Linked DNA regions of Macaca mulatta. The protein of the gene in region 1 binds, or shares a complex with, the protein of each later gene. Links are inferred from orthologs where the notes say so. Each region holds a gene or a part of one and is shown in the gene's direction. Other genes may lie near its edges. The genes, in order: SMARCC1, ACTL6B, PBRM1, DPF1, SMARCD3, SMARCD2 and SMARCD1.

The links.
Region 2: SMARCC1 (region 1) and ACTL6B share a complex: the UniProt entries of both Homo sapiens proteins name them as parts of the BAF complex. The link is inferred for Macaca mulatta from reciprocal best matches to the Homo sapiens genes SMARCC1 and ACTL6B.
Region 3: SMARCC1 (region 1) and PBRM1 share a complex: the UniProt entries of both Homo sapiens proteins name them as parts of the SWI/SNF-B (PBAF) chromatin remodeling complex. The link is inferred for Macaca mulatta from reciprocal best matches to the Homo sapiens genes SMARCC1 and PBRM1.
Region 4: SMARCC1 (region 1) and DPF1 share a complex: the UniProt entries of both Homo sapiens proteins name them as parts of the neuron-specific chromatin remodeling complex. The link is inferred for Macaca mulatta from reciprocal best matches to the Homo sapiens genes SMARCC1 and DPF1.
Region 5: SMARCC1 (region 1) and SMARCD3 share a complex: the UniProt entries of both Homo sapiens proteins name them as parts of the BAF complex. The link is inferred for Macaca mulatta from reciprocal best matches to the Homo sapiens genes SMARCC1 and SMARCD3.
Region 6: SMARCC1 (region 1) and SMARCD2 share a complex: the UniProt entries of both Homo sapiens proteins name them as parts of the BAF complex. The link is inferred for Macaca mulatta from reciprocal best matches to the Homo sapiens genes SMARCC1 and SMARCD2.
Region 7: SMARCC1 (region 1) and SMARCD1 share a complex: the UniProt entries of both Homo sapiens proteins name them as parts of the BAF complex. The link is inferred for Macaca mulatta from reciprocal best matches to the Homo sapiens genes SMARCC1 and SMARCD1.

Annotation. Positions count from the first base shown.
Region 1 is NC_133407.1:111,045,034-111,048,800, reverse strand, and holds part of SMARCC1 (SWI/SNF complex subunit SMARCC1), read left to right. Parts: intron 1-852; coding exon 853-966; intron 967-2,373; coding exon 2,374-2,527; intron 2,528-3,560; coding exon 3,561-3,674; intron 3,675-3,767. UniProt on the Homo sapiens protein: Involved in transcriptional activation and repression of select genes by chromatin remodeling (alteration of DNA-nucleosome topology).
Region 2 is NC_133408.1:47,859,253-47,863,524, reverse strand, and holds the start of ACTL6B (actin-like protein 6B), read left to right. Parts: upstream 1-1,388; 5' UTR 1,389-1,410; coding exon 1,411-1,435; intron 1,436-1,865; coding exon 1,866-1,942; intron 1,943-2,157; coding exon 2,158-2,323; intron 2,324-2,625; coding exon 2,626-2,726; intron 2,727-4,272. UniProt on the Homo sapiens protein: Involved in transcriptional activation and repression of select genes by chromatin remodeling (alteration of DNA-nucleosome topology).
Region 3 is NC_133407.1:116,242,508-116,246,999, reverse strand, and holds the start of PBRM1 (protein polybromo-1), read left to right. Parts: upstream 1-1,655; 5' UTR 1,656-1,820; intron 1,821-4,492. Other genes in the region: GNL3 (guanine nucleotide-binding protein-like 3), read right to left, coding at 1-61, 182-319, 731-789, 1,464-1,476. UniProt on the Homo sapiens protein: Involved in transcriptional activation and repression of select genes by chromatin remodeling (alteration of DNA-nucleosome topology). Required for the stability of the SWI/SNF chromatin remodeling complex SWI/SNF-B (PBAF).
Region 4 is NC_133424.1:49,293,145-49,296,911, reverse strand, and holds part of DPF1 (zinc finger protein neuro-d4), read left to right. Parts: intron 1-2,808; coding exon 2,809-2,936; intron 2,937-3,202; coding exon 3,203-3,292; intron 3,293-3,767. UniProt on the Homo sapiens protein: May have an important role in developing neurons by participating in regulation of cell survival, possibly as a neurospecific transcription factor. Belongs to the neuron-specific chromatin remodeling complex (nBAF complex).
Region 5 is NC_133408.1:190,675,122-190,678,888, reverse strand, and holds part of SMARCD3 (SWI/SNF-related matrix-associated actin-dependent regulator of chromatin subfamily D member 3), read left to right. Parts: intron 1-148; coding exon 149-360; intron 361-2,120; coding exon 2,121-2,163; intron 2,164-2,982; coding exon 2,983-3,105; intron 3,106-3,222; coding exon 3,223-3,345; intron 3,346-3,595; coding exon 3,596-3,691; intron 3,692-3,767. UniProt on the Homo sapiens protein: Involved in transcriptional activation and repression of select genes by chromatin remodeling (alteration of DNA-nucleosome topology).
Region 6 is NC_133421.1:73,633,060-73,636,826, reverse strand, and holds part of SMARCD2 (SWI/SNF-related matrix-associated actin-dependent regulator of chromatin subfamily D member 2), read left to right. Parts: intron 1-1,591; exon of another isoform or gene 1,592-1,639; coding exon of another isoform or gene 1,640-1,711; exon of another isoform or gene 1,712-1,998; intron 1,999-2,638; coding exon 2,639-2,823; intron 2,824-3,026; coding exon 3,027-3,069; intron 3,070-3,216; coding exon 3,217-3,339; intron 3,340-3,767. UniProt on the Homo sapiens protein: Involved in transcriptional activation and repression of select genes by chromatin remodeling (alteration of DNA-nucleosome topology).
Region 7 is NC_133416.1:57,265,159-57,268,925, forward strand, and holds part of SMARCD1 (SWI/SNF-related matrix-associated actin-dependent regulator of chromatin subfamily D member 1), read left to right. Parts: intron 1-2,732; coding exon 2,733-2,868; intron 2,869-3,767. UniProt on the Homo sapiens protein: Involved in transcriptional activation and repression of select genes by chromatin remodeling (alteration of DNA-nucleosome topology).

The DNA of each region.
Region 1 (3,767 bases):
TCTTGGCTGCCTGAGTTTTGTTTTTCTTGTGTGCCAAGAACTGTTGCTAGGTCTCAAAGTCCTTAACACTCTTGTTATTAAGTACTGTATTTTGTGACAGAAGTCATTGGAATCTGCTGTAACAGAATCTCAGTCTCTCTCTCCATTTTCGTATGTTCTTTTCTGGATTTGGTCTCATGGATTCTACTTGTTGCCCAGCCATGATCTCCCTTAAAGAACTGCCACGAGAAGTTACATAGCTATTTTCAGAGCCAAATCCACGTGCCACATTTGAAATACAGAAGTGATAGGCAACAGAGGTTGAGAGCATAGATTGAAGAGCCACCACACTGGGTGCGATGAATTCTGGCTCCATCAATTACCAACCCTGTGGCTAGGACAAATTCTCTAACAACTCAGTGTTTGTTTCCTCACCCATAGATGGGATGATAGCAGACCCTACCTGCAATATGGAGCGATTATGAGGATTCAGTTGTCAGACATACATTGCTTATAACAGTGCCCTGCACACAGTAAAGTATAGATATGTGGTAGTGAGGCAGATAGCCTATGTAACCATGTGTTAGTTTCAAATTCTGCAGTTAACTACCACCATGACCAAGTTTGAATTTATGTTACTTCACATGAATGTCGTTACATTACTTGTTATTATACATTAGTAAACAGTTGTTTTGCATATTTGTGGTTCTAAATTCACTCATAACTTAATATGCAATATAATATCACCGTTTTTTTATGCTCTTGTCTTAATTTATTGTATTTCTAAGGAATCTGAAGATTTTTGAGTTTCTGAGTAACATTGTTTCTGAAAGGATACGTGTCCACCTTATGAATTTTGCCATTGCTTTTTAGATACTTGGCATATCGAAATTTTATGATTGACACGTATCGCCTAAACCCCCAAGAGTATTTAACTAGCACTGCTTGTCGGAGGAACTTGACTGGAGATGTGTGTGCTGTGATGAGGTAAAATGTTTGACTTTTTCTGAGACATTTAACTGTAGGAATTTACTTATGCTTTGCTGTCATATTAAACTGGTTGTTTCAACTGGGTAAAACACCTAATTTTAGTTGTGTCATTTAGGGGTGGATTATATTTTGTTTCCTTTCATTTCATTCAATTTATTTTATTTTTATTTTATTTTATTAATTTAATTTTATTGTCGAGATGGGATTTCATAATGTTGCCAAGGCTGGTCTCAATCTCCTGGCCTCAAGCAATTCTCCTGCCTCGGTCTCCTGAAGTATTGTGATTGCAGGCGTGAGCACTGTGTTCAGCATTAGAGGTTGAAAATTTAAAATATTTAATTTAGGCTGGGTGCAGTGGCTTACGCCTATATTCCCAGCACTTGGAGAAGCCAAGGTGGGCGGATCACCTGAGGTCAGGAGTTCGAGCCTGGCCAATATGGTGAAACCCCTTCTCTACTAAAAATATAAAAATTAGCCGAGCGTGGTGGCACATGACTGTAATCTTAGCTATTGGGGAGGCTGAGGCAGGAGAATTCAGGAGGCAGAGATTGCAGTGAGCTGAGATTGTCCCACTGCATTCCAGCCTGGGCGACAGAGCGAGATTGTGTCTCAAAAAAATAAAATAAGTAAGATAAATATTTAATTTAGTTTTCTAGATTTTACAGTTCACATTTTAATTTTTTTAGTCAAATCATAAAATAACCAGGGAAGGAGTAGATTCAGGTTGGGAGTGGATAAACTCTGCGCCCTAGCTCTGCCAAAAAAAAAACAAAAAAAAAACCCGCCAGGTACAGTGGCTCACACCTGTAATCCCAGCACTTTGGGAGGCCGAGGTGGGTGGATCACCAGAGGTCAGGAGTTCGAGACCAGCCTGGCCAACATGGTGAAAGCCTGTTTCTACTAAAAATACCAAACATTAGCTGGGCATGGTGACGGGCACCTGTACTCTCAGCTACTTGGGAGGCTGAGGCAGGAGAATCGCTTGAACCGAGGAGGCTGAGTAGGTTGCAGTGAGCTGAGATTGCACCATTGCACTCCAGCCTGAGAGACAGAGCGAGACTCTGTCAAGAAAAATGTGGATTTTTTCTATGTGTGTATTTGGTCTGTGTGTGGGTTCTTTTATTACCATGGACCTAAATGCGTATTTGTGCTCTCATTTCTGTGATTTAAATGATTAAACTTTGTAATAGGTTTGGGGGGTGCTGTGTTATCAACATTATTTGTGGCTTGTAGAAATTGTTCCCTACATAACAAACAAAATCTGTCAAGTAATTTGTGGTGTTTGATAGCCTGCTGAGCACATTTACTTGTTTTATTGTTTCTGTTTTTTAATGGTGTAATGATGATAATAAAGCACATGAAATTGATTCTTTAGATTTTAACTTTCCGAGCTTTATTCTTTAGGGTCCATGCCTTTTTAGAGCAGTGGGGACTCGTTAATTACCAAGTTGACCCGGAAAGTAGACCTATGGCAATGGGACCTCCTCCTACTCCTCATTTTAATGTATTAGCTGATACTCCCTCTGGGCTTGTGCCTCTGCATCTTCGATCACCTCAGGTAAATTAATGTTGACTTTTCATCAGACCTGAATAGTAACAAATGTCTGTTTATAGCATATCTATTTAGGAATGCTGTTGTTAGTGCTGTTTCTTTGATGCTTGTTTGTATGTGTGTTTTGGTGTACTGTAAATATTACAGTCCAAAAGAATATATAGTGTTTAAGTTAATGCTGTCCCACCAATCCCAAAACCCAATGCCTTAGTCTATCAAATTATTAATTTACTTTTATATGCATAACTCCCTTTATCCTTCTGTCATCAAAAAGACACACATAAGTAAGCAGATGATGCAAAATCTTCTTTCCCTTCCTTCAGTCTGTGTTCTAGAAACGTGAAGCAAAGAAATCTTTATAACTTGTCCTAAGATTTGTAAAGTGGACATCCATATATACATTATCAAACAGATTATGTCAGACAAATTCTGTATAGCATTAAGTTGGATTCACAGGAACCTAAGGTATAAATTTTGTTCCATTGTGAAATAGAATATAGTAATGAAAATTTGTTATCCTTTCTGGACTTAAGGGACACCAAAATGTAACTTGTATGTTGAATTTTTGTTAGAAGTATAGTGTAGAAGTGTGGGTATTTATTGTTTTTCGTAGGAAATCCACCAAGAGTGGCTTAAGTTCCAATATTAACCTTTTTTTTTTTTTTTTTTTTTTTTTTTTTTGGAGACAGAGTCTGTCTCTGCTCCCCAGGCTGGAGTGTAGTGGCATGATCTTGGCTCACTGCAATTTCCGCCTCCGGGTTATAAGCAATTCTACTGCCTCAGTCTCCTGAGTAGCTGGGATTATAGTCACATGCCACAACGCCCAGCTAATTTTTGTATTTTTAGTAGAGATGGGGTTTCACCATTTTGGTCAGGCTGGTCTTGAGCTCCTAACCTTGTGATCCGCCCGCCTCGGCCTCCCGAAGTGCTGGGATTACAGGCATGAGCCACCGCGCCCGGCCTAAACAAATTTTAAAAAACGTTTACCCTCTTGACTTTAAAGAGGCTAACTCAGCCGTTTATCATTTATTTGACTCAGGTTCCTGCTGCTCAACAGATGCTAAATTTTCCTGAGAAAAACAAGGAAAAACCAATTGATTTGCAGAACTTTGGTCTACGTACTGATATTTACTCCAAGAAAACATTAGCAAAGGTAAGGATTTTTTTTCTAATCACATGTAGGCTACAATCCAGCACATCTTAGTCCTTCTAAGATACATCTGATGAGCTTTCTACTCAAATCTGA
Region 2 (4,272 bases), on another chromosome or scaffold:
TCCGGTGCTGCGGCTGACACCTGTAATCCCAATGACTCAGGAAGCCAAGGTGGGAGGATCGCTTGAGGTCAGGAGTTAGAGACCAGACTGGGCAACATAGTGAGGGCCCTTCTCTAAAACAAGCAAACAAACAAAAAAAACCAGGTGTGGTGGTGTGCACCTGTAAGTCCCAGCTACTCAGAAGGCTGAGGCGAGAGGATCACTTGAACCCAGGAGTTCAAAGTTACGGTGACCTGTGAGCGTGCCACTGCACTCTAACCTGGGTGACGGAAGACCCCAATTCAAAAAGAAAAGAAACAAAAACCCTCTTGTTGATAAATGCCTCCTTAGGAAAATAGGCGCTGAAGAGACAGAGAGATGGAGAAAAGAAGCTAAAGCCAGGTGGGCTGTGTGTGAACGTATGTATATGTGTGTAAGCATGTGTACACATGTATAACGCCCAGGTACTGGGGTGGTGGGGGTAGGGGTGGAGCAAGGCAAGGAAAAGAGGGGCCAGCGAAAGACAAAGGAGGGAAGTTGGACACGGTGGCTCATGCTTTTAATCCCAGCACTTTGGGACATTGAGGCCAGGAGTTCAAGACCAGCCAGTCTCTAAAAAAAAAAACAACAAACAAAGAAAAAAACAGAGAGAGATGGAGACACACCCCCACCCCCTCTGGTCCCTCTCTTAATCTTCCCTTCCCTCCCTCTCCCGGCAATTCCATTTAGGCCTGGGTGTGGCAGAACCGGGCTCAGAGCAGCCTGAAGACAGATGACCCTTCTGGGGAGTGGAGCTCTCTCCCCAGTCTTGCTTTAAAAAGTAAGGGGGTAGAGGTCGGGCATAGCACTTTGAGAGGCTGAGGTGGGAGGATCGCTTGAGGCCAGGAGTTCAAGATCAACCTGAGCAAGACCCTGTCTCCATAAAAAAAATTTTTTTAATTTGCCAGGTGTGCTGGCACCTGCCTGTAATCCCTGCTATTAGGCTGAGGAGGATCGCTTGAGCTCTGGAGTTCGAGACCAGCCTGGGCAACGTAACAAGACCTCCGTTTCCACCAAAAAATTTAATAAAAACAAAAAGCAAGGGGGTAGGGACCTCATCAGTCGTCCTGCAGAGTCTTGGTCTCCACCTCTGCCCTGCTCTCCTCTCTGCCGCCCGTTCCTTAGCGACGGTCTCTAAGTCCCTGCTAGGCGCCCCCTGCCCCATCTCCTCCTGGTCGCCTAACGGAGGGTATCTTCCCCTTTAAATCCGCGGCCCCCGGTCCGGTCATTGTCTCGCCTGGCAGCCAATCGGCGGCGCCGTTGGGGGCGGGGGATCCGGCCTCCCAATTGGTCGCCGTGCGCCCCGCCCCGCCAGGGATCCCGGGAGCTGTCCGGCCGCCTCGGTGCTGATCCCGCCACCGCCCACGGGCCGCTAGCAGCGCAGAGGGCACTATGAGCGGGGGCGTCTACGGCGGAGGTGAGCGAGCCTCCGGCCCCCTGCGTTCCGAACCCGCGCCATCCATCCGAGCTCTGGGCACCCCGGGGCCTGTCACCTCCGCGCATGAACGGGTCCAGTCTCAGGCTCGGGTTCCCGCCTCCCCTGCGCTCCGTTCTCGTGCGCACCGGGCCGAACCTCTCTACCTTACAACCCACCTCCACCTGGCCCCGGCCCCTTCCTTTCCCGTCAGGAGGGTGGCCTGAGCAAGGCCAGTGGGCAAGAAGGGACCCTGGCGGTATGATGCCCCCACCCCCAGTCCCAGGACCTCAGACTCCAGGCCCAGTTCCCACCGGCTCCAGACTGGTGTTGAAGGTGGCGAGTCTGTGGCTCTGCCCTGACTTTCTCTCGGAACTACCTAGCGGGAAAAACTTCGGGGGAGGTCCCCTTACAGGCCTGTCTCCCCTCACAGATGAGGTGGGGGCGCTGGTCTTTGACATTGGCTCCTTCTCAGTCCGCGCTGGGTACGCTGGGGAGGACTGTCCCAAGGTGAGCCTTCCAGTCTCCTCTCTAAATCCTAGGGGCTCCGGACCCTTCTTCAGGCTTTCCAGTGACCCAGGGCTCTCCCAGATCGCCCAGAAGCTCTGCTGAGCGGGAATGTGGGAATAAACCCAGGGGCGGGCTGAGGACCCTGCCGTGGGGCTGGACAGGGGCAAGAGGGTGACCCCTCTCCTGCCGATCCTCCCCCAACCCTTCCCCACCAGGCTGACTTCCCCACCACGGTGGGGCTGCTGGCCGCGGAGGAGGGGGGCGGGCTGGAGCTGGAGGGGGACAAAGAGAAGAAAGGGAAGATCTTCCACATCGACACCAATGCCCTGCACGTGCCTCGGGATGGAGCGGAGGTCATGTCGCCCCTCAAGAATGGCATGAGTAAGGGGCCCCCACCCATCACCTCCTGACAGATAGGGAGCCCACTCCCCACGATCTGGGACATAGCAGCCCCCACTCCCCAAGGAGTCTTCCTTGCAGCCCCAGGGTTCTTCTCGCTGCCAGGGTTCTTCTCGCTGGGTTCCCTTCCCAGGGGCCCAGCAGGTTTCTGGGAAGAGGGGACGTTCCCCTGGGCCTGGACTCACTGACCCTCCTTTGGGCTTGGCCTTTCTCCCTCCTTTTCTTCCTGTCCCTGACCCCTGCCTGCCCTCTTGCCTTTCTCCACTCTGCTCTTCTGGCCCCAGTCGAGGACTGGGAGTGCTTCCGAGCCATCCTGGATCATACCTACAGCAAACACGTCAAGTCTGAGCCAAACTTGCACCCCGTGCTCATGTCCGAGGCCCCGGTGAGTGCCTCCTGCCTTCCCATGTCCAACCCCGATCTCCACTGCACCTGCTTCCCACCATCCACCTCTCCTCCTCTCCCCTCAAGCCACCGATGTCAGCCACTTCCCTTCCCTTTTCAGACTCCCCTCACCCATCCCAACCACTTTCCTTCCTTCCTAAGTCTCCATCCCTCCTGCTCTCTTCTTGTTCTATCTACTCTGCTGCCCTTCTCCATCTCCAAGTCCTTTTTTAATTTTTTTTTTTTTTTACACAGAGTCTCACTCTGTCACCCAGGCTGGAGTGCAATGGTGAGATCTCAGCCTCTGCCTCCCGAGTTCAAGGGATTCTCCTGCCTCAGCCTCCCGAGTAGCTAGGATTACAGGCACCTGCCATCATGCCTGGCTAACTTTTTGTATTTTTAGTAGAAATGGGGTTTTGCCATGTTGGCCAGGCTGGTCTCGAACTCCTGACCTCAGGTGATCCACCCGCCTTGGTCTCCCAAAGTGTTGGGATTACAGGCATGAGCCACCATGCCCAGCCTCCAAGTACTTTTTAGACCTTTTAACTTATTATTATTTTGGTCAACATTGGTGAGCTGGGGATGTGGGCTCACACCTGTAATCCCAGCACTTTGGGAAGCCAAGGCGAGAGGATCACTTGAGCCCAGGAGTTCGAGACCACCCTGGGCAATATGGCAAGACCCATCTCTTTTATCAAAACAATAACAATTAAAAAAATTTTTTAACTGCATTTTAAAAAATGTTCTTACCCATATCCTTATAGATTCCTCTTTATAGAAGCAACTGTTTTTCTCCTTTTTAGCTAATTTTGGGGGTATTTTCTTCCATATCTCTAATATTACACTTAAATTGCTGCCTGTGGAGTTTTTAGTTTTAGATATTATCAATGAATTTTCCACTCTAGAAAATGATCACTTAGCTCTTTTTTCCTCCCCAGCCTATGCCACAACATATTTCTATTACCCTCCTTTAAGTACAGTGGGTTTTGTTGTTGTTGTTTTTGTTGTTGTTGTTGTTTGTTATTTGTTTTTGAGATTTTGTCTCAAAAACAGGGGCTCCGCTCAGTTTATCACCCAAGTTGGATTGCAGTGGCACAGTTCTGCAGCCTTGGTCTCCTGGGCTCAAGTGATCCTCTCATTTCAGCCTCCGGAGTAGCTGGAACTACAGGCATGAGCCACCACGCCCAGCTGATTTTTAAATTTTTTGTAGAGACAGGGTTTCACCATGTTTTCCAGGCTGGTCTTGAATTCCTGGGCTCAAGCGATCCGCCCGGGTCGTCCACCCAAAATGCTGGGATTACAGGTGGGATCCACTGCACCCAGCCCAGTTGTATTTTAGACTTTGAAAGAAATCAATATTCAGTATTTACACTCTTTTTAAGTTAGAAATAATTTTAAGAGAATCTTTTGTAGAGATGGGGTCTCATTATATTGCCCAGGCTGGCTTCAAACTCCTGTGCTTAAGCGATCCTTCTACCTCAGCTTACAAAGTGCTGGGATTACAGGCATGAGTCACTGTGCCCAGCCCAAGATTTACATTTTTATTA
Region 3 (4,492 bases), about 5.2 Mb from region 1:
TTCTTTTCTTTCCTAGTTCCTTCTGCCTGTCAAGTTTCTGCTGCTGTTTTAGTTCTTCAAGCTGTGTCAGAGCCGTAAGGGAAATAGATGAACCAGTGACTAGTGTTGTTACCTTACTCTGAAAAATATCACACATAACACACTATACCACTCGTTGAAAATTCTGGCTAACATAACTTACCCTCTGTTTCCTTAGCTCAGCTTCCCTAAGAAGAGCCTCCTTAAAGGGAGCACTGTTTGGAACTCCTGGGTCTTTCCTAGGCTTCTTGTGACCCCGCTTTTTAGCCTCCTTCCTTAATTTTCGATGATGTTCTCGAACCTATTAAAGAGATTTTGTCTGCTTACAAAAATATCTTTATACTTAAGCAGAATTCAAGTGAGAAACCAATCTGGCTGCAATTTAGTTATGCCTATAAAATGTAATAGGAAAATGGAGCTTTAGTTGGAATCTTACAAAGTAATGCATAGGTAAGTATAAAACAGTAAGAAAATGTAACTAGAAGGCTCTCTATGCAGAGATTAACATGTTGAACAAATTTAGAGACTTACCACCAAATCACTGCACTTTCTCACAGCTGCACTCCTGATGCCTAAGAGCTCGTGCCCATGGTCAGTCTATCCAATGCCATTTTCCGAAACCAAATCACATTAACCCGGACTTTCCCGCAAAGGAACAGGGCAAAATCAGTTTAGCAGTGTTTAGTATAGCTCTCTCAAGCACTACACTTACCTTTTTTTGGATTTTATACCGCTTATGGCAGGTCATGCGTTTACTTGCTTTCTTTAACTCTACAAAGAAACATCACAAATCTGTTAACGCAAATGATTAGTTCTGGGTTAACGCACTATGGAGTTATATCCTTTTCTCGTGTTATTGGCTGCCAAACCTAACGTTAAGACTAATGCGAAATGCCTAATGCAAACATACATGCCACTTTCAAATTCCAGAGAATTAGATTCAGTAGATCCAGAACGGAGTCCAAGTTCCCTGCACCTACTCTTACAATATCAGAATAGGATCATACACAGCAGCGTGTACGAGCGTTTATGAGACCCAAAACGACAGCCACTTTGTGTCAAACAGCACGAATCATAAGGCAGGAGAGGAACACTGAGTCTGGGAGGCGATTCTCAGCTCTCACCTGGGCCAGCCTGCACGTGGCCACGGAAAGTAAGATATTGGGCCTGAAACCTGGCTCAGAAGCTGCTTCCTTACGAAAATCTAGCCTAGTCTTTCCCACCCTCTGCCCGTCTTCGTTCCACAGAATGAGCCCGCGCGGTTAACATGATCGCCGTAGGGACTTCCAACTCTCGGTCCTACGAGAAAATAGGGCCAAGGCCTACGCGTAGGCTCTCACCCCTATATCAGCAGAGACAAAGCCGTAGCCGTAAAAGAGCGTCGTGGAGGCTGCAGCAACTTCCAGACATGGGTCCCTCCACGCCCGCTTCCCGACCCCACTTACTAGGCCGCTTCATGTTGGCTGTAGAAAGCGGCACGAGCACGACACCCTGCCTCCTCTAGCGCCACGTGTGAAGTGAAGCCACTGACGAGCGTCACGCACTTACGCTGCCGCCGTAAAGTGCGTCACCGCCTCTCTGCGTGCGCGCGCACGCAGTGTCGCGCGGAGCAGGGATCGCTTGGCGGCCGCGGGACTGGTTTTGCGGCGGCACCGGGAGGGGTAAGGGAGGTGAGGGCGGCGGGTGCCGGAGCGACGGCAGCGGCCGCGGCCGGAGGAGCAATAGCAGCAGCCGTGGCGGCCACGGGGCGGGGCGCGGCGGTCGGTGACCGCGGCCGGGGCTGCAGGCGGCGGAGCGGCTGGGTAAGGCCGGGCCCAGGGCGGGTGGGGCCGCTCCCCCTCGGCCAGCTGCCGGGCCTTTGTGTGGGCCCTGGCGGGCGGGAGCCGCCGCGGAGGCCCCGCCCCGGCTGTGGGGACGCGCCGGTCGGGCCGGGCGCGCGGGGTTGGGCGGGGCACGGCGGCGGGCCTCCCGATGGGCCCAGTAGCTTTGTCGCACCTGCCGGCAGACAAAGGCGCACTAAGGCCCGGAAACTCCCCGCCCTCCTCTTTCCCGCTCGTCGCGGGGCAGCTTCAAAGCTGTCAACGTTTCCCTCAGCCCCCAATACCAGTGACAGGTCGGGAAAGTCCTTCATTTCCTCCGTTGCTCAGGGCCTCTTTTTTTTGTTGTTATTTCTTGGCGGTTCGACACAAACTCTTACTGATTTTTCTTTCCGTATTTTTTCCGGGTGTTTTAATCAATGGGACTTCTATAGTAGAGGCCAAATATTTCAGCTTCTCATCTCAACACCACAAAGAATCCGGGTTTTTGGGAACTGTGTATATTTCTTGGTTTGGGGAAGCACAGTTTTGTTATTATAATAAGTTTTAATTTAAAGGGGCAGAAAGAGTTGCAAAAATATGGAAAAAGTCCTGAAAAATAAGTACACGGTATAGTGAATATAGAAATTCTTACAGTAGCTATACAAGCGTATGTTGGGGTAAAATGTTTTAACTTACTTTCCAACACATTAGGACTCTTGACAAATAATTTTAGGTGTTATTTTTTCTCCATTTGGCTATGTGCTTCCCCCCAAAAAGTGCATATTGGACTCATGCACATAAAAGAGTAGCATAATTTTTGCTTTATTACTTACAGGTCGCCCATATTTGATTTTGAGCTCCAAAATGGAAGATTGGAAAATATGTTTTGAAGAGGTGTTTCAAATTAAAACAATAAAGAGTTATGTGTGGATGAATGGAAGGGCCTTGACCGCTTTCTTTGGCTTTGGGAATGTACAAAATACCTCAAATGTTAATACCCTACCAAAATTCCCAAGATAAGTAAATTGTGGTATATCTGTATGATAGATTACTATCAAGTCATCAAACATCATGAGGAAGAATGTTGACTTGGAAGAATCTTCACTAAAACATAGGCTGTAAAATATGTGGTTTGTTAACATTTTGGTAAAAAATAATAGGTAACTAAGGCATAAACACCAAAAAACTGTGAATGACAACGTTAAAAGTGGTTTTTTCTTGGAAGTAGATTTATAGGTGTTTTTTTCCTTTGAGTCCTGTTTTCCAAGATTTTGTTTTAGGCATATATTGTATTGCTAAATATTACTAGAAATACAGGAGAGGGCTAAAGTTCATAAACGGTTGAAATACACCGTTTGTCTATACTAAGTCGATATTCTTCCAGTTGCACATTATTAAGTATTCTTAACTGCCACTATAAATTATTGATTGTCAGACTCTTGAACTTGTAACTGTAATCAAGGCCATTTTAAAAATTGGAATTGAACTCTGGAATCTGTCTTTCCTCTTCATGGAAAAACAAAATTGCTGAAGGGATGCTTACAGGCTTTTTTTTTTTTTTCCTTTTTTGAGACAAGGTCTCGCTTTGTTGCCCAGGCTAGAGTTCAGTAAAGTGATCATGGCTCACTGAAGCCTTGTGCTCCTAGGCTCAAGCAGACCTCTCACTTCAGCATCCCGAGTAGCTGGGATTACAGATGTGCAGCACCACACCCAGCTAATTTTTATTTTTGTAGAGACAAGGTCAATCTGTGTTGTCCAATCTGGTCTTGAACCCTCTGCCTCAAGCGGTCATCCTGCCTCAACCTCTCCAAGTGCTAGGATTACAGATACGAGACCCTGTGCCTGGCTGAGGCCTTATAAACTATGCAAAAAAAGCTTTTTTTTTTTTAAAGGTCGCACTCAAGTGCACTTTCTTTTCTTTTTTTTTTTTTTTTGGAGACAGAGTCTTACTCTGTCCCCCAGCCTGGAGTGCAGTGGCACGATCCTGGCTCACTGCAATCTCTGCCTCCCAGGTTCAAGCAATTCCTGTGTCTCACCCTTTCGAGTACCTGGGATTACAGGCCCATGCCACCACCTCGCCTAGCTAATTTTTTGTATTTTTGATAGAGACGGGGTTTCACCATGTTGGCCAGGCTGGTCTTGAACTCCTTACCTCAGGTTATCTGCCCACCTCAGCTTCCTAAATTGCTGGGATTACAGGCATGAGCCACTGTGCCTGGCCCTAAGTGCACTTTTAATACATTTATTAAAAGATAAATTGAGCACCTAACCTATACCAAATACTGTTCTGTAAGACAGGTCTACAAAAATGAATATGCTGTTCCTGTGCCTGGGGAACTTGCAGAAGTGATTTCACTTTATGTCTTTTTTTTTTTTTTTTCTTGAGACAGGGTCTTGCTCTGTCGCCCAGACTGGAGTGCAGTGGTACGATCTCGGCTTGCTGCAACCTCCGCCTCCTGGGTTCAAGCAATTCTCGTGCCTCAGCCTCCCGAGTAGCTGGGTTAACAGGCATGCACTGCCTCACCCAGCTAATTTTTTTTTTTTTTTTTTTTTTTGAGACTGTCTTGGTCTGTCGCTTAGGCTGGAGTGCAGTGGTGCCATCTTGGCTCACTGCAACCTCTGCCTCCCGGGTTCAAGTGATTCTCCTGCCTCAGTCTCCCGAGTAGCTGGGATTA
Region 4 (3,767 bases), on another chromosome or scaffold:
GGGAGTTGGGATGGATCAGTATCTGCCTGTATTTTTTTTTTTTTTTTTTGGAGATGGAGTCCGGCTCTGTTGCCCAGGCTGGAAGTACAGTGGCACGATCTCAACTCACTGCAACCTCCGCCTAGTGGGTTCAAGTGATTCTCCTGTCTCAACCTCCCACCTAGCGCACATCGACACGCCCGGCTAATTTTTGTGTATTTTTAGTAGAGACGGGGTTTCACCGTGTTGGCCAGGCTGGTCTCGAACTCCTGACCTCAGGTGATCCACCCGACTCGGCCTCCCAGAGTGCTGGGATTATAGGCTTGAGCCACCGTGCCCGGCCATCTGCCTGTATTTTCTTCTGTGGGTGCCTGAGGGTGTCCGCCTCTGTATCTCCCCAAGGGCGTCTGGATGTCTCAGTGTCTGGTTGGAGCTCTTTCCTCTCTTAGGTGTATCTTCCCGGGTGTCTCCAAGTGTCTTAGAAGGCTTGTGTCTTGTGTATGTCTGGTTTGTCAGGGCGTCCAGCTCCTTCCCAGTGTGTCTGGGTGTGTTACGCGGTGCGGCCGTCTCTTTCTGTGGGTGTGTAGGTGCCTCGGAGTGTCTGGGAGAATCTCTTCCTGATGGTGTCTGGTGTATCAGGTGTATTTCTGCACGTGTGTGTCAGTCCATCAGAGGATCTGGACTTAACCTTGAATGTGTTTAGGAGTATCAGGGTCATTGGGGTCAGTTTCTCTTCCTGAGTCCGAAGGTCTGTGTGTACCCAGGAGTGTGGCAGTGACCACCTGGCTGTGTCTCTGTCTGTCTGTGTCTCCTATGTGTGTGTGTGTGTATCTAGCTGAGCAATTCTCCCTGGGTATGTTGGTATCTCCCCACTATGTGTCTAGGCATCTCATCTGGCTGTCTTCCCCAGGGGGGCCTAGGTATCTGGAGGGCTAATTCTTTCTTCTTTCTTTCTTTCTTTCTTTCTTTCTTTCTTTCTTTCTTTCTTTCTTTCTTTCTTTCTTTCTTTCTTTCTTTCTTTCTTTTTCTTTCTTTCTTTCTCTTTCTTTCTTTCTTTCTTTCTTTCTTTCTTTCTTTCTTTCTTTCTTTCTTTCTTTTTCTTTCTTTCTTTTTCTCTCCCTCTCTCTTTCTCTCCCTCCCTCCCTCTCTCTTCTCTTTCTTTCTTTCTTTCTTTTCTTTTTTCTTTCTTTCCCTTCCTTCCTTCCTTCCTTCCTTCCTTCCTTCCTTCCTTCCTTCCTTCCTTCCTTCCTTCCTTCCTTCCTTCCTTCCTTCCTTCCTTCTTCCCTCCCTCCCTCCCTCCCTTCCTTTTCTTTCTTTCTTTTCCTTGTTTCTTTCTCTTTCTTTTCTTCCATCCAGTTTGGAGTGCAGTGGCACGATCTCAGCTCACTGCAACCTCTGTCTCCCGAGTTCAGGTGATTCTCTTTCTCAGCCTCCTGAGTAGCTGGGATTACAGGCGTGAGCAATTACATCCAGTCAATTTTTGTATTTTGTTTTTAAGTAGAGATGAGGTTTTACCATGTTGGCCAGGCTGGTCTCGAACTCCTGACCTGAAGTGATCCACCCACCTCGGCCTCCTAAAGTGCTGGGATTACAGGTGTGAGGCACCGCACCTGACCAGCTGATTGTCTCTGCGCATCTCTGAGAGTACCCATGGGTCCGGCTATGTCTCCTTCATGTGTCTGGCTGTCTCCAAGGATCTGGCTATACCTCTCTGAGTCTCTAGGCTGTATCTGAGAGTGTGGCTTGGCCAGGCATGGTGGCTTGTGCCTGTAATTCCAGCACTTTGGGAGGCTGAGGCAGAGGATCACTTGAACTCAGGAGTTTGAGACCAGCCTGACTAACATGGTGAAACCCCGTCTCTACCAAAAATACAAAAATTAGCCGGTGTGGTGGCGGGCCAACCACTCTGCCTGTAGTCCTAGTTACCCAGGAGGCTGATGGGAGGATCACTTGAGCCTGGGAGTCGCAGTGAGCTGAGATTGTGCCACTGCACTCCAACCTGGGTGACGGAGCGAGACCCTGTCTCAAAAAAAAAAAAAAAAAAAGAAAGAAAGAAAAAGAAAAAGGAGAGCTTGGTTGGGCCTCTTCCTTTCTGCGTGTGTCTCAGAAAATCTGTCTGGATGTCCCCTATGGGTGTCCATGTGTCTCCTCTGTGAGTGTGTGTATCTGTCCGTATTTGTCTGGGTGTGTTTAAAAGTCGCTGTGTCGGCCGGGTGCGGTGGCTCAAGCCTGTAATCCCAGCACTTTGGGAGGCCAAGACGGGCGGATCACGAGGTCAGGAGATCGAGACAATCCTGGCTAACACGGTGAAACCCCGTCTCTACTAAAAAAAAATACAAAAAACTAGCCGGGCGAGGTGGTGGGCGCCTGTAGTCCCAGCTACTCGGGAGGGAGGCTGAGGCAGGAGAATGGCATAAACCCGGGAGGCGGAGCTTGCAGTGAGCTGAGATCCGGCCACTGCACTCCAGCCTGGGCAACAGAGCGAGACTCCGTCTCAAAAAAAAAAAAAAAAAAAGAGTCGCTGTGTCTTCCCTGAGTAGGTCTGGGTGTGCCTGATGGCCTGTGTCTTTTTCTGAGGCTTTCCGGTATATCCAAAGTTCTGACTGTGTCTCCTGCCGTGCGTCCCAGGGCATCTGAGGGTGTGGCTGGGTCTCCCCGGGGTCTGGGCCTCCCTTCTAGGGCGTGTAGTTAAATCCTCGCCTCGGCTGCTGGCCGAGTGTGGGAAAGCTTCTTCCCTCCCGCAAAGAGCATGGTCCCCCCACCTGCATAGTTTGAGGAGTCCTCTAGGGTCAACTTCCCCATCTGACCCTGCCATGGCCCTGTCCCCAGACTGTGAAGCACCCCTGAAGAAGGAGGGTGGCCTCCCTGAAGGGCCCGTCCTCGAGGCTCTGCTGTGTGCAGAGACGGGGGAGAAGAAGATTGAGCTGAAGGAGGAGGAGACCATTATGGACTGTCAGGTAGGCCCACCCCTGGGGGACCCCCCGACATGGCTTCCTCTCACCCCTGCCGGCCGCCAGCCCGGGCCCTCATGTTCCTGCTCTGAAACCCCCCGGTTTCCTCCAGCCCTCGGGCATCCCAGTCTCCATCCTCCCAGACTTCATCTCTGTTTGGAAGAACTCCTGACTTACGCTCTCATCCCCAATCTCCACCTCTGCCCAGAGCCCCTCAAAAGCAGGTCAGTGGCTCCTACTTTCTTGATCCGTCTCCTTTCTCTATTGCCCAGAAACAGCAGTTGCTGGAGTTTCCGCATGATCTCGAGGTGGAAGACTTGGAGGATGACATTCCCAGGAGGAAGAACAGGGCCAAAGGAAAGGTATCACCCCAAGGTTCTCCTCTCCCCTGCTCCCCTTAATGACAGGTCTCATTCGTGGAGCAGGCGCAGTGGTCGGCCCCTGCCACAGTCTGACCTCATTGAATCCCAGAACAGCCTGCAGGGGTGGGGGATTTAATACCCATTTTACAGATGAGGAAACTGAGGCTCATCTGTATTAAGCCATTTGCAAAGCAGAGATTATGCAGTGGGTTAGAGCTACCTTCATCCCCGTGCCGCAGAGGAAGAAGCTAAAACTTGGAGAGGTTTGAAGCCCCACAGCTAGGACATTTGCAGAGCTGCAATTTGAATTTGCAAAAGACTCTGTTTTCTCACTTTCTTTTTTCCTTTTTTTTTTCGAGACAGAGTCTTGCTCTGTCGCCAGGCTGGAGTGCAGTGGTGTGATCTCAGCTCACTGCAACCTCCGCCTCCTGGGTTCAAGCTATTCTTCTGCCTCAGCCTCCTGAGTAGCTGGGAC
Region 5 (3,767 bases), on another chromosome or scaffold:
CCATCGTTCCCACCCATCGCTCAGCGCTCAGGGTCACCAGCCGAGGGTCTGGTGGGGGAGGGGAGACGCCGGCTCACCGCGCCTGGAGCTGGGGGCCCTGGTCTGACCCACGGGCGCCCGTTTCTGCTTCACCCCCGCCCACCCACAGCGCCCCGGGATGCCGTCTGGAGCCCGGATGCCCCACCAGGGGGCGCCCATGGGCCCCCCGGGCTCCCCCTACATGGGCAGCCCCGCCGTGCGACCCGGCCTGGCCCCCGCGGGCATGGAGCCCGCCCGTAAGCGAGCAGCGCCCCCGCCCGGGCAGAGCCAGGCACAGAGCCAGGGCCAGCCGGTGCCCACCGCCCCCGCGCGGAGCCGCAGGTGAGTGGGAGGCCCGGCGCGGAGGGGGCGTGCAGGGGCGGGCCCTGGGGACCCGCAGGGACCAGGTGAGAGAGTAGCGGGGATTGGAAGAGGTGAGGAAGAATGATTAGCAGGGAGCGAGGCTTCCCGGATCGGATGCCCTCTGGGGAGGTGGGCTTAGGGGGCACCGGCCTGATTCTTTTGTGTGCCCACGGTAGAGACAGGCTGTGGCCGTCGGCAGCCGGTACCGCTTCCCTGCACGTTCCCCTCACCCTTCTCCTTGTCACCTGCTCAGTCCCTCTCTCCACCCATCAGGTTCTGGGTGATGCTTCAGTCTTTGGGTTGGGGGCGGGGCTTCCAGTGGGACTGAGGGCAGAGCTGTAGGACTGTGTTGCCCAAAGTGTAGTTCTCCGCTGAGCCTTCCTGCCAGACCCCGGACTGTTTCAAAGCCACTCCAGATTTTCTCAATGGGACTCTCTGGCCCTGGGGGTGGAGCTTGGGGATTTGCCCTGTGGTAGGTGGTCTCTGCCCAGTTCCGCTCTTAATTCTTAGGCACTCTGGACCAGGTCTGCTCCCAAGCCACCAGGGCCAGCCCATTGCCTTATTTTCCTCCAGCAGCTGGTGGCACCCTTAAAGCCCCTGCTGGCTCCTGGCAACAGCAGTGCCCCTCTGGATTTCAGTATTTAGCCAAATACACATGCTTTTTTTGCACAACAGATGGATTTCTATAAAAGGTGTAATATCAATTTTACCTCATTATTAAGTATTTTTTACACATCAGGTAAAATTCACCACTTATAGGAATCCCATGATGAATTATTTTGTAAAGTGCATCGTCATTTTGTACAGCAAACGGTAATTCCCTGATTTATCTTGTATAAATGGAGAGTTACACAAAGATAATCTGTCTAAAACAAACCAGACCTTTAATGAAATCTGCTTGTTAGCCTTAGATTTCTGCATAGGGAGGGGGTAGTGGTTGAGAACACCACACGGGGGCAGTATGGAGCTATTCTCTAGGCTGCGTTTTCATCTCTTGACCCGCCAAGGTTTTTCTGGGGGTTTTTGGGTTAGTCAGCAGCAGCTAGTGGGTCAGAAAGAGCTCACATCCAGCTGCTACTACCCTGGGCCTAGTCAGTTTGGCCTCAGCCTGAAGTCACACCCATGCACATTCTGGGCGCCTATGGCTGCAGCATGTCCCTCACCTTGTTGCCAGGTAGTCCCAGGGCATGAGTACCCCTGCTCATCAGCATTCTCTTGCAAGCCCAGGGTGCCTGGAAGGGATGCAAGTCCCGCCAGCTTCACACCATCACCTCCCGCTCCATGGATAGGAAGGAAGTCGTCTATCTCCCTCCCTCTGAGCTTAGAATCCTTTGGACAGGGCACCCCCTGCTTTCCAGAAAAGGTCCTCAGACCTGGCTTCCCTCTCCTTTGTCCTCCCTCATCCCCACCTTTCCTCAAACACTTCTGCAGCTCCCATCTTTTGGCAGCACCACCCCCACTCGCCAGTCCCTCCTAAGTCTAAATTTCTCTGTCCCTAAGGATGTGGCAGGTTAGAAGGGGGCTCCCAGGCCAGAGAATGGACGGGTCACCCCTGTGTCCTTAGAGAGGACAGAGCACCAGTTCCACACACCACCGTCATAGCCCTTGGGCGGGCAGACAAGCGGGCTGTGGGAACCCCAGCCAGGCGGGCGGAGATGTCGGGATAATTTAGCAGGTGGCCTCGTTACTCCCAGATCTGTCGCCATGGTAACCTGGTTTTTTCTTTAAAAAATGTACAGTGCCAAGAGGAGGAAGATGGCTGACAAAATCCTCCCTCAAAGGGTGAGTGTCTTTCACAGCAGCCCCCAGCCCACCCCCTACCCTTTGCTGCTCTGCCCTCCCCTCCCCCCTCAAAAGCAGAGCTTCAGTGTCACAGTCACTTTCACTTTTTGTTTAAAAAAACTCATTAGTAAGTGAGGCTCCCTAGGCCAGAGGGAGGGGGTGAGGTGGAGGGAAGCAGCAGAGCCACTGGGGCCAGAACACAGGGGCCTGTCAGGGGGCTGGATCCAAGTGGTACTAAGACAGAGTTGTGGGACAAGAAGGGGGCAAGAGCTAGGGGATCAAAAGCTGCCAGGCAGAATGAAGGGGATAGAAGGTGGCCAGAGATCCTGAGCATCCTAAAGGGACCCAGGTCCAGCTGGATATGGGGGACAGCACAGTTGGGACAGGTGTGGGGGCTGAGCAATGTGCCAGCAAAGAAGAAAGCACTGCTGTCCAACTGTCCCAGGGATTGAGCCCCTACTAGGCACTTTGCAGGGGCCCAGGGGAAGCCCAGTGGGCATATGACATAGAAAATGACAGGATGAGGAGACTAAAGGCTAGTGCTTTGCTGGGTTCCACAGTTGCTACCTCCTCCCCGTGATGATACACAAGGCTCTTCCTAAAGGGAGAAGCAATTGTTATCCCTACACAGCAAGGCCCCTACTGCTGGATAATGGCATCCTGGGGAGAGGTCCTGTTCCCACTGTCAAAGCTCCATGCCCAGAAGTAGGATGGCTCCCCCGACATCTTTTGCACCCTAGGATTGCACAACATGCATACATTCCATGGTACAACCCTGGACTCGAGCCTCTGACTCCTGCCCTGCTCCTCCTCCTCCAGATTCGGGAGCTGGTCCCCGAGTCCCAGGCTTACATGGACCTCTTGGCATTTGAGAGGAAACTGGATCAAACCATCATGCGGAAGCGGGTGGACATCCAGGAGGCTCTGAAGAGGCCCATGAAGGTGCCTTAGTTCGGGGGTAGGAAGGGGACTCTTGAGTCGCGTGACCAGGATGGGGAAGCAAGGTAGTCAGGGTGGAAGCACACAGCATTTGCCAGGTTCTACACTCTATTTCTACAGCAAAAGCGGAAGCTGCGTCTCTATATCTCCAACACTTTTAACCCTGCGAAGCCTGACGCTGAGGACTCCGATGGCAGCATTGCCTCCTGGGAGCTACGGGTGGAGGGGAAGCTCCTGGATGATGTACGTCCCGGCCCAGGTCTCTCCAGGTGTCCTGGGGTGGGCACGGGCTGCACTGAGAACAGAACAAAGTGTCTGCACTAAGGGCTAGGGAGTCAGCCCAGGCTGGGGAGGTGGGGGCAGGCCTAGAGACATTCCAGGTGCAGAGGATTTCATCTAAGCCCACTGCCCTGTCTGCTGCCAACTTGGCCTCCTTCTGCTTCTCCCACCCTGTCCCTGTTCTGCCCCCATGGTTCCTGTTCCTCTCCCACAGCCCAGCAAACAGAAGCGGAAGTTCTCTTCTTTCTTCAAGAGTTTGGTCATCGAGCTGGACAAAGATCTTTATGGTCCTGACAACCACCTTGTTGAGGTAAGACCAAGAGCCCCTCCGCCCTTGAATTGCCACCTTCCCACAGGCCAGAATCCCTGAAGAACGAGCACAGATT
Region 6 (3,767 bases), on another chromosome or scaffold:
TTGGTGGTGTGCGCTTATGGTCCCAGCTAGTCGGGATGCTGTGGCAGGAGGATTGCCTGAGTCCAGGAGTTCAAGGCTGTATTGAGCTATGATCCTGCCACTGCACTCCAGCCTGGGCAACAAAATAACAAAAACCTCAGATTTCTGGGTTCACTCCAGAGAGTTCAAAAAGTTCAAAATCTTTTTTTTTTTTTTTTTTTTTTTTTGAGATGGAGTCTCACTCTGTCGCCCAGGCTGGAGTGCAGTGGCATGATATCAGCTCACTGCAACCTCCGCCTCCCAGGTTCAAGCAATTCTCTGCCTCAGCCTCCTGAGTAGCTGGGATTACAGGTGCCCACCACCATGCCCGGCTAATTTTTTTTGTGTTTTCAGTAGACACGGGGTTTCACCATCTTAGCCAGGATGGTCTTGAACTCCTGACCTTGTGATCCACCTGCCTCGGCCTCCCAAAGTGCTGGGATTATAGGTGTGAGCCACCGCGCCCTGCCTCAAAATCCTTTTTACTCATGGGAGAGTGGTGGTATGTTCCCCAACTGAGGCCCTCAGGCCCAGGTTCCAGAGCATCAGGGCCACATTTGGGGCAGGGCAAAGCATGCTCACTGGAGCCCTGGATTCCTCATCTGGGGTTCAGGGGATTGATCCAGGCCTACCTGATCCTGTTGCAAGCAGGGAGTTAGGGAGGCTCAGAGTTCTGGACTGTTTTTTGTTTGTTTTTCCTAACTCCTGAGTTGTTTTTGTTTTTTGTTTTTTGAAGGGGGAGGAGTTGCTAGCACCTATAAGCCCAGGTATGGAGCTTAGCAAAGCTCAGCTAGAATTTGAACTGTTAGCAGCCTTCCCCTGGGGTCCTGAGTGAGCTGGGGGCTCTGGGCCCGGGAAGCCTGGAGCAGATGTCTAGGTGGAGCCTATTCCAGGCCCTGCCTGTGCAGCCTTGTCTTAGGACTTCCTGTTACCAGAGCACCTGCCCAGGAGGGATGGGTGGTGCTGCAGGTTCTGTGAACGCTGCAGCGGGAAGCTTCCTGGGGACCATAGGGCCCTCGCTCACACTCTGCAGGACCCAGTGCTTCAGTTCTTCCCTTTGTCTCAGGCACTAGGAAAAACTAAAGTCTGGGATGTCTGGGCCCGGGCTTACAGCTGTAGTCACACTCAGTTTTTTTCTATAATCTCAGGCCAGAGAAAGAACAATCCTTAAGGCAGAGAAAGAGGTTGTCTTTTGCCTTTCAACAGCTCTGATTAATCTCTTCCTGATGGAGAGAGACTTTGGCAGGACTCCCAAAGCCCCAGAGCCCCCCACTTTGAGGTTTTTATTCTCCCAAACACCTCCCTCCCACCCTGCTCCTCCTCTCCCCATCCTCACGTCTGTGGGTCATGTTTCTTTCCATCTCTGCATCTGGTCAAGAATCTGACCCTCTGTTTTGGGAACATGGGTTTAGTGCAGGATGAAGAGGTTGGGGAAGAATCTCATCTCCATGATGCTGGAGTGGGGGAGGGTCCTTTGATTTGGTACAAGTCTCCACCCTGCCGGGCTTGGTTGGCTGGTTGTGCTCGTTGCATAATCTGGGCCCTGGGGCCAGCCCTGTGAAGCTGCCAGGGACAGTGTGTGCGAGGCAGAGCTGCCAAACAGGCCTTGCAGGCAGCAGCCATGGGGAGGGGGGTGGGGGTGGAGGTGACTCCCAGATGGGCTCCACAGAAATGTCGGGGAGCAAGGCTTCAAGTGGGAAATCCTTCTGCAGGCATCTAAAGAAGCTATTTCTATCTTCCACTTTCCTGCTGCTCAGCCTAGGCCTCTGATCCTTGCCTCCCAGGATAATCTTAGCCCCCTTCTTCAGCTTGGGATTGCCAGGGCTACACGGAGCCAGAGCCAGTCCTGGCTGCCAGGTGGTGCCTGGACCACGGGCAGAGTCCAGGTGCCAGCTGCTGTCTTTCCCACAGGCCACCCAGGAGCCATGGCTTCCCTTCTGGGGTCTTTTGGCATAGGGGCAGTAGTTGGGCAGTAAGGAGGTGAGAGGAGGGTCCAGTTCTGGGCTGTGGGTAGGGGCTATATGGTACCAGAGTACAGGGTACAGGGTCCCGGTACCCTGTCCGAGGCCGCCCTCACCAGCTGGTACGCGTTCCAAGTCATCCTGTTGTAGCCCTGCTCACCTGGGGTGCTGCTGCCTACCAGACCCCTTTCTCCCTCGGCCACAGAGGATGGGGATTGGGGCTCTGCACCATTGGCCTGCTCATGATATAGTATACCCCTCTGCCTGGCAGTGACACTGCCCCCGTGCCTCTCAGCCATGCTTCTCCCTCATGATGGGGGAAAGAGGAGGGCAAGGCTTGGCGGGACTGTCTGAGAGAATAGGGACTGGGTGGGGCTCCTGTAGGCCCTTCCCTCTGCAGGCAGGACCCTCCTCCCAGCCCAGGCTCTGGCAGACCTCATTCGCTGGCATGGCTGCCAGGGCGGTTGCAGGGGGCAGGGCAGGTATGGTTTACACTCTTCGCTCCGACGCCCGCTCTCCTTTGTTCCTGGGGCTCCAGCAGGGCTCTGGCGTGGTGCTCAGGCCCAACCTGGCTGACGAGAGGGATGGAGGGCATAGGCTATGGGCCCTGGAGGGCCCTGCCCCTGACCTATGCACCCCCGTTGGCTCACTTCCCCCAGCGACCTGGCATGTCACCAGGGAACCGGATGCCCATGGCCGGCTTGCAGGTGGGACCCCCTGCTGGCTCCCCATTTGGTGCAGCAGCTCCGCTTCGACCTGGCATGCCACCCACCATGATGGATCCATTCCGAAAACGCCTGCTTGTGCCCCAGGCGCAGCCTCCCATGCCTGCCCAGCGCCGGGGGTAAGAGCATCCTGCTTATTCCACTCTGCCTCACTCATCTCTGGTGGTAGCAGAGGGTTTCCTTCTATCTTAAGAGCTTTGGTGTCTGAGGAAGATTCCAGGCTCTCTTGGGGGAGAGGGTCCTGGAGACTGGAGGGACGTTGCGGGGGTGAGTGTCCTTTTTTGGACCATTGATCTCTTAAGTGGGTTTCTGAACTCCCCAGGTTAAAGAGGAGGAAGATGGCAGATAAAGTTCTACCTCAGCGAGTAAGTGTTAAGAGGACGCCTGGGAGGCCTGCCCAGTGGCCACCTCGGGGTGGGCATCCGTCTCCCTCAACCCTGGGCTGCAGGAAGGGAGGAAAGAGCCAGGCTTTGGCTGAAGCAAGCTGATGAGCTTCTGCTACCTTCCTCCAGATCCGGGAGCTTGTCCCAGAGTCTCAGGCATACATGGATCTCTTGGCTTTTGAGCGGAAGCTGGACCAGACCATTGCTCGCAAGCGGATGGAGATCCAGGAGGCCATTAAAAAGCCTCTGACAGTATGTGTGACCTTGACCACCTCTAGCCTTCCCAGGTTTCCTTGCCCTCCACCCCCTTGTTTTCCAGGGGCCAAGCAAGTTGGGCTAGAGCTGGGTTTTTCACATGCAGGATGCAGCCCACTAGTAGAGTACGAACTCAGTTGAATGTGTTAGGGCCAGTATGTTTTAAATTAATATATGACAGTAGAAAATCTAAAAATACTTCACAGTAGTACTTACCATAGTAGTTAAGGTATTCTTTCATGATATTTTTGTTTCCGATAAATAGATATGCAGACCTTGGGTCATAACTGAAAAATGTAAATATTATGGGTCGTGGTCTCAAAAGTTTGAAAACCACTAGAGGATAAAGTTAGTTCCTTTCTCCTTCCCCTTCCCCATCCATAGAGAATATTTTCTTTTTTCTTTTTTTTTTTTGAGATAGAGTC
Region 7 (3,767 bases), on another chromosome or scaffold:
CCAGCTAATTTTTTTATGTTTTTAGTAGTGATGGGATTTCACGATGTTTGCCAGGCTGATGTCAAACTCCTGACCTCAGGTGATCTGCCCGCCTTGGCCTCCCAAAGTGCTGGGATTTCAGGTGTCAGCCACTGAGCCCGGCCGAAATCAGATTATTTAAAGCCCAAAGATCAGCAAATGCACATATCTGGGCACTTCCTCCTGCTCTCCTTTGGAAGATCAGTTGTTAAACATTTACCAGCTCTTCACTGATGGAAGAGCTCAGTGGCCATCTTTTCTCTGGATGGTACAGCATTCTATTCTGAGCCTCCAATTCCATTACTTCTATTCACTTTTTTGTTTAGAGGATGGAGAGCAAGGCATCTCTAGGCAGATAGGAAGTGAAGAAAATTCCTTCTCAAAGAAGCATGTCTCTGTAGTTGGATATAGTCTCTTTGCCTTTCTTCCTTTATTCCATATTAATTCCAGTAAGGACTTTTTTTTTCTTTTTTTTTCTTTTCTTTTTTTTTTTTTTTTTTGAGACAGAATCTCATTCTGTCGCCAGGCTGGAGTGCAGCGGTGCAATCTCAGCTCACTGCAACCTCCACCTCCTGGGTTCAAGCGATTCTCCTGCCTCAGCCTCCTGAGTAGCTGGGATTACAGCATGCCAGTACGCCCCGGTGATTTTTTGTATTTGAGTAGAGATGGCGTTTCACAATGTTGGCCAGTATGGTCTCGATCTCCTAACTCTGTGATCCACCTGCCTCAAGCCTCCCAAAGTGCTGGGATTACAGGCATGAGCTACCACGCCTGGTGGGCTTTTTTTTTTTCTTTTGACCCTGAACCTACAAGATGACAGAGAGGGAGAGGGGAGAAAAAGAAGAAAGATAAGACCCTGAACCATTACTTACGCAGTAGTAACTCCTCGACCTATAAATTAGGTCAGTAGAAGTTGGTCTGTCCTGTATTCCTATGCTTAAAGTTAGACCACTTTTAATTTTGTGTTTGACTTTATTTTTGGGGTCAATTTTAGTTTAAAAGGGAGAAAGCCAGGCACAGTGGCACGTTCCTGTAGACCCAGCTACTCCAGAGGCGAAGGTGGGTAGATATTTGAGTCCTGGAGTTCGAGTCCGGCCTGGGCAACATAGCAAAATCCTGTCTCTGAAACAATGAAAAAAAGTTTGTTTGGTCAGGTGTAGTGGCTCATGTCTGTAATTCCAGCACTTCGGGAGGCCAAGGCGGGCGGATCACAAGGTCAGGAGTTCAAGACCAGTCTGGCCAATATGGTGAAACCCCATCTCTACTAAAAATACAAAACTTAGGTGGGTGTGGTGGTGGGCACCTGTAGTCCCAGCTACTTGGGAGGCTGAGGAAGGAGAATCACTTGAACTTGGGAGGCAGACGTTGCAGTGAGCCGAGATTGTGCCACTGCACTCCAGCCTGGGCAACAGAGCGAGACTCCATCTTAAAAAAAAAAAAAAAAAAGCTTCGTTTGTTTAAACATATATAGAGTCTCGCTCTGCCAGACTGGAATGCAGTGGCGTGATCTTTGCTCACTGTAACCGCTGCCTCCCAGGTTCAAGCAATTCTTGTGCCTCAGCCTCCCAAGTAGTTGTCATTACAGGCATGCGCCACTTTTTGTATTTTTAGTAGAGATGGAGTTTCACCATGTTCGCCACACTGGTGTTGAATTCCTGGCCTTGAGTGATCTGCCCGTGTTGGCCTCCCAGAGTGCTGGGGTTACAGGCATGAGCCACCACACTTGGCCAAAAAAGTTTTAAAAATTATTATTATTATTATTATTTTTTTTTTGAGACAGAGTCTCTCTCTGTTGCCCAGGCTGGAATGCAGTGGTGTAATCATGGCTCACTGCATCCTCGACCTCCTGGGCTCAAGTGATCCTCCCACCTCAGCCTCCTGAGTAGCTGGGATCACAGATGTGTGCCACCTAGCCCAGGAATTATTTTGAAATTTTTTGTAGAACCTGGGGTCTTACTGTGTAGTATAGGCTGGTCTCAAACTCGTGGGCTCAAGCAGTCCTCCTACTTCAGCCTCCCAAAGTGTTAGGAATTCAGGCATGAGCCACCATGGCTCGCCAAATTTTTTTTTTTTTTTTTGAGACCATCTCACTCTGTCACCCAGGCTGAAGTGTAGTGGCATGAACTTGGCTCACTATAACCTCTGCTTCCCAGGTTCAAGAGATTCTCCTGCCTCAGCTTCCCCAGTAGCTGGGATTACAGGCATAAGCTACCATGTCTGGCTAATTTTTAGTAAAAATGGGGTTTCACCATGTTCCTGACCTCAGGTGATCGCCCACCTTGGCCTCCCAAAGTGCTGGGATTACAGGCGTAAGCCACCATGCCTGGCTGCCAAAAATTTTTTTTAAAGGGAGAAAGATATATAGGAGACTGTAGCAGTCATTTCCTTTGGAGAGGAAGGAACTGCTTTTCACAGGATACCTTTTGTACTGCTTGAATTTTTACCATTGACTTTTTAAATAAATAACTTTATTGAAGTATAATTTATATATAACAGAGTATACCAATTGAAAGTGTAGTCTGAAGATTTTTGCCAGATCTGTATACCATGTAGCTGCCACAATAAAGTATAGAACATTTCTGTCACACCCAGAAGTTGTTGGGCCCTTTTGCAATTAGCCCCTTTTCTCTTCATCCTGGGTCATCTTTTTGACCCTGTGTAATTAGGTCTTAGGGGACAAGCTCTTTACCAGGCCCCTTTGGTTTCCTGTCCAGTGTTGACCCGAATGATCAGAAAAAGACAGCTTGTTATGACATTGATGTTGAAGTGGATGACACCTTGAAGACCCAGATGAATTCTTTTCTGCTGTCCACTGCCAGCCAACAGGAGATTGCTACTCTAGACAACAAGGTAGGGGTCTGTGCCCTGGACGGTTGGGTACCACCAGCCCCTATCACAGCTTCAAGGCCTCCTTTTGATTTTTAGTGTTCATTCAAAATATGGCGACACCCAGTATATGTCAGGTACTGTGCTTGGTGCTGGTTTGAGCCAGACTCAAATGAATTCTGATTGTGGGGATACTCTCAATAGCGCTGAGCCTCAGTTTCTGATTTGTGGAATAGAGACCATGGTACCTTTTTTTTTTTCTTTTTTCTTTTCAGGAGTCTCACTCTCTCGCCCAGGCTGGAGTGCAGTGGTGCAATCCTGCCTCACGGCAACCTCCACTTCTGGGTTCAAGTGATTCTCCTGCCTCAGCCTCCCAAGTAGCTGGGATTACAGGCACCCACCTTCACACCTGGCTAATTTTTGTATTTTTAGTAGAGACAGGGTTTCGCCATGTTGGCCAGGCTCTTCTCCAACTCCTGACCTCAAGTGATCTGCCAGCCTCGGCCTCCCAAAGTATTGGGATTACAAGCGTGAGCCACCATGCCCAGCCCATAGTACCTATTTTAATCAGGTTGCTATGACAATTAAATGAGGGAGTATATGTAAAGACTTGAGTCTGTATCTGGCACTTACAAAAACAACAAATGGTAACTTCTGCTACTATTATTGTTATCTGGATTGTTATTATTAGACACAGTCCTTGCAAATAAAGCCAAAAGTGCTTTGGGAACACAAAGGAAAAAGGGAGGCTTTGCTGGAAGAGTTGATGCCCCAACTAAATCTTGTTTTTTTTTTTTTTTTTTTTTTTTTTGAGATGGAGTCTTGCTCTGTCGCTTAGGCTGGAGTGCAATGGCGTGATCTTGGCTCACTGCAACCTCCGTCTCCTGGGTTCAAGTGATTCTCCTGTCTCAGCCTCCTGAGTA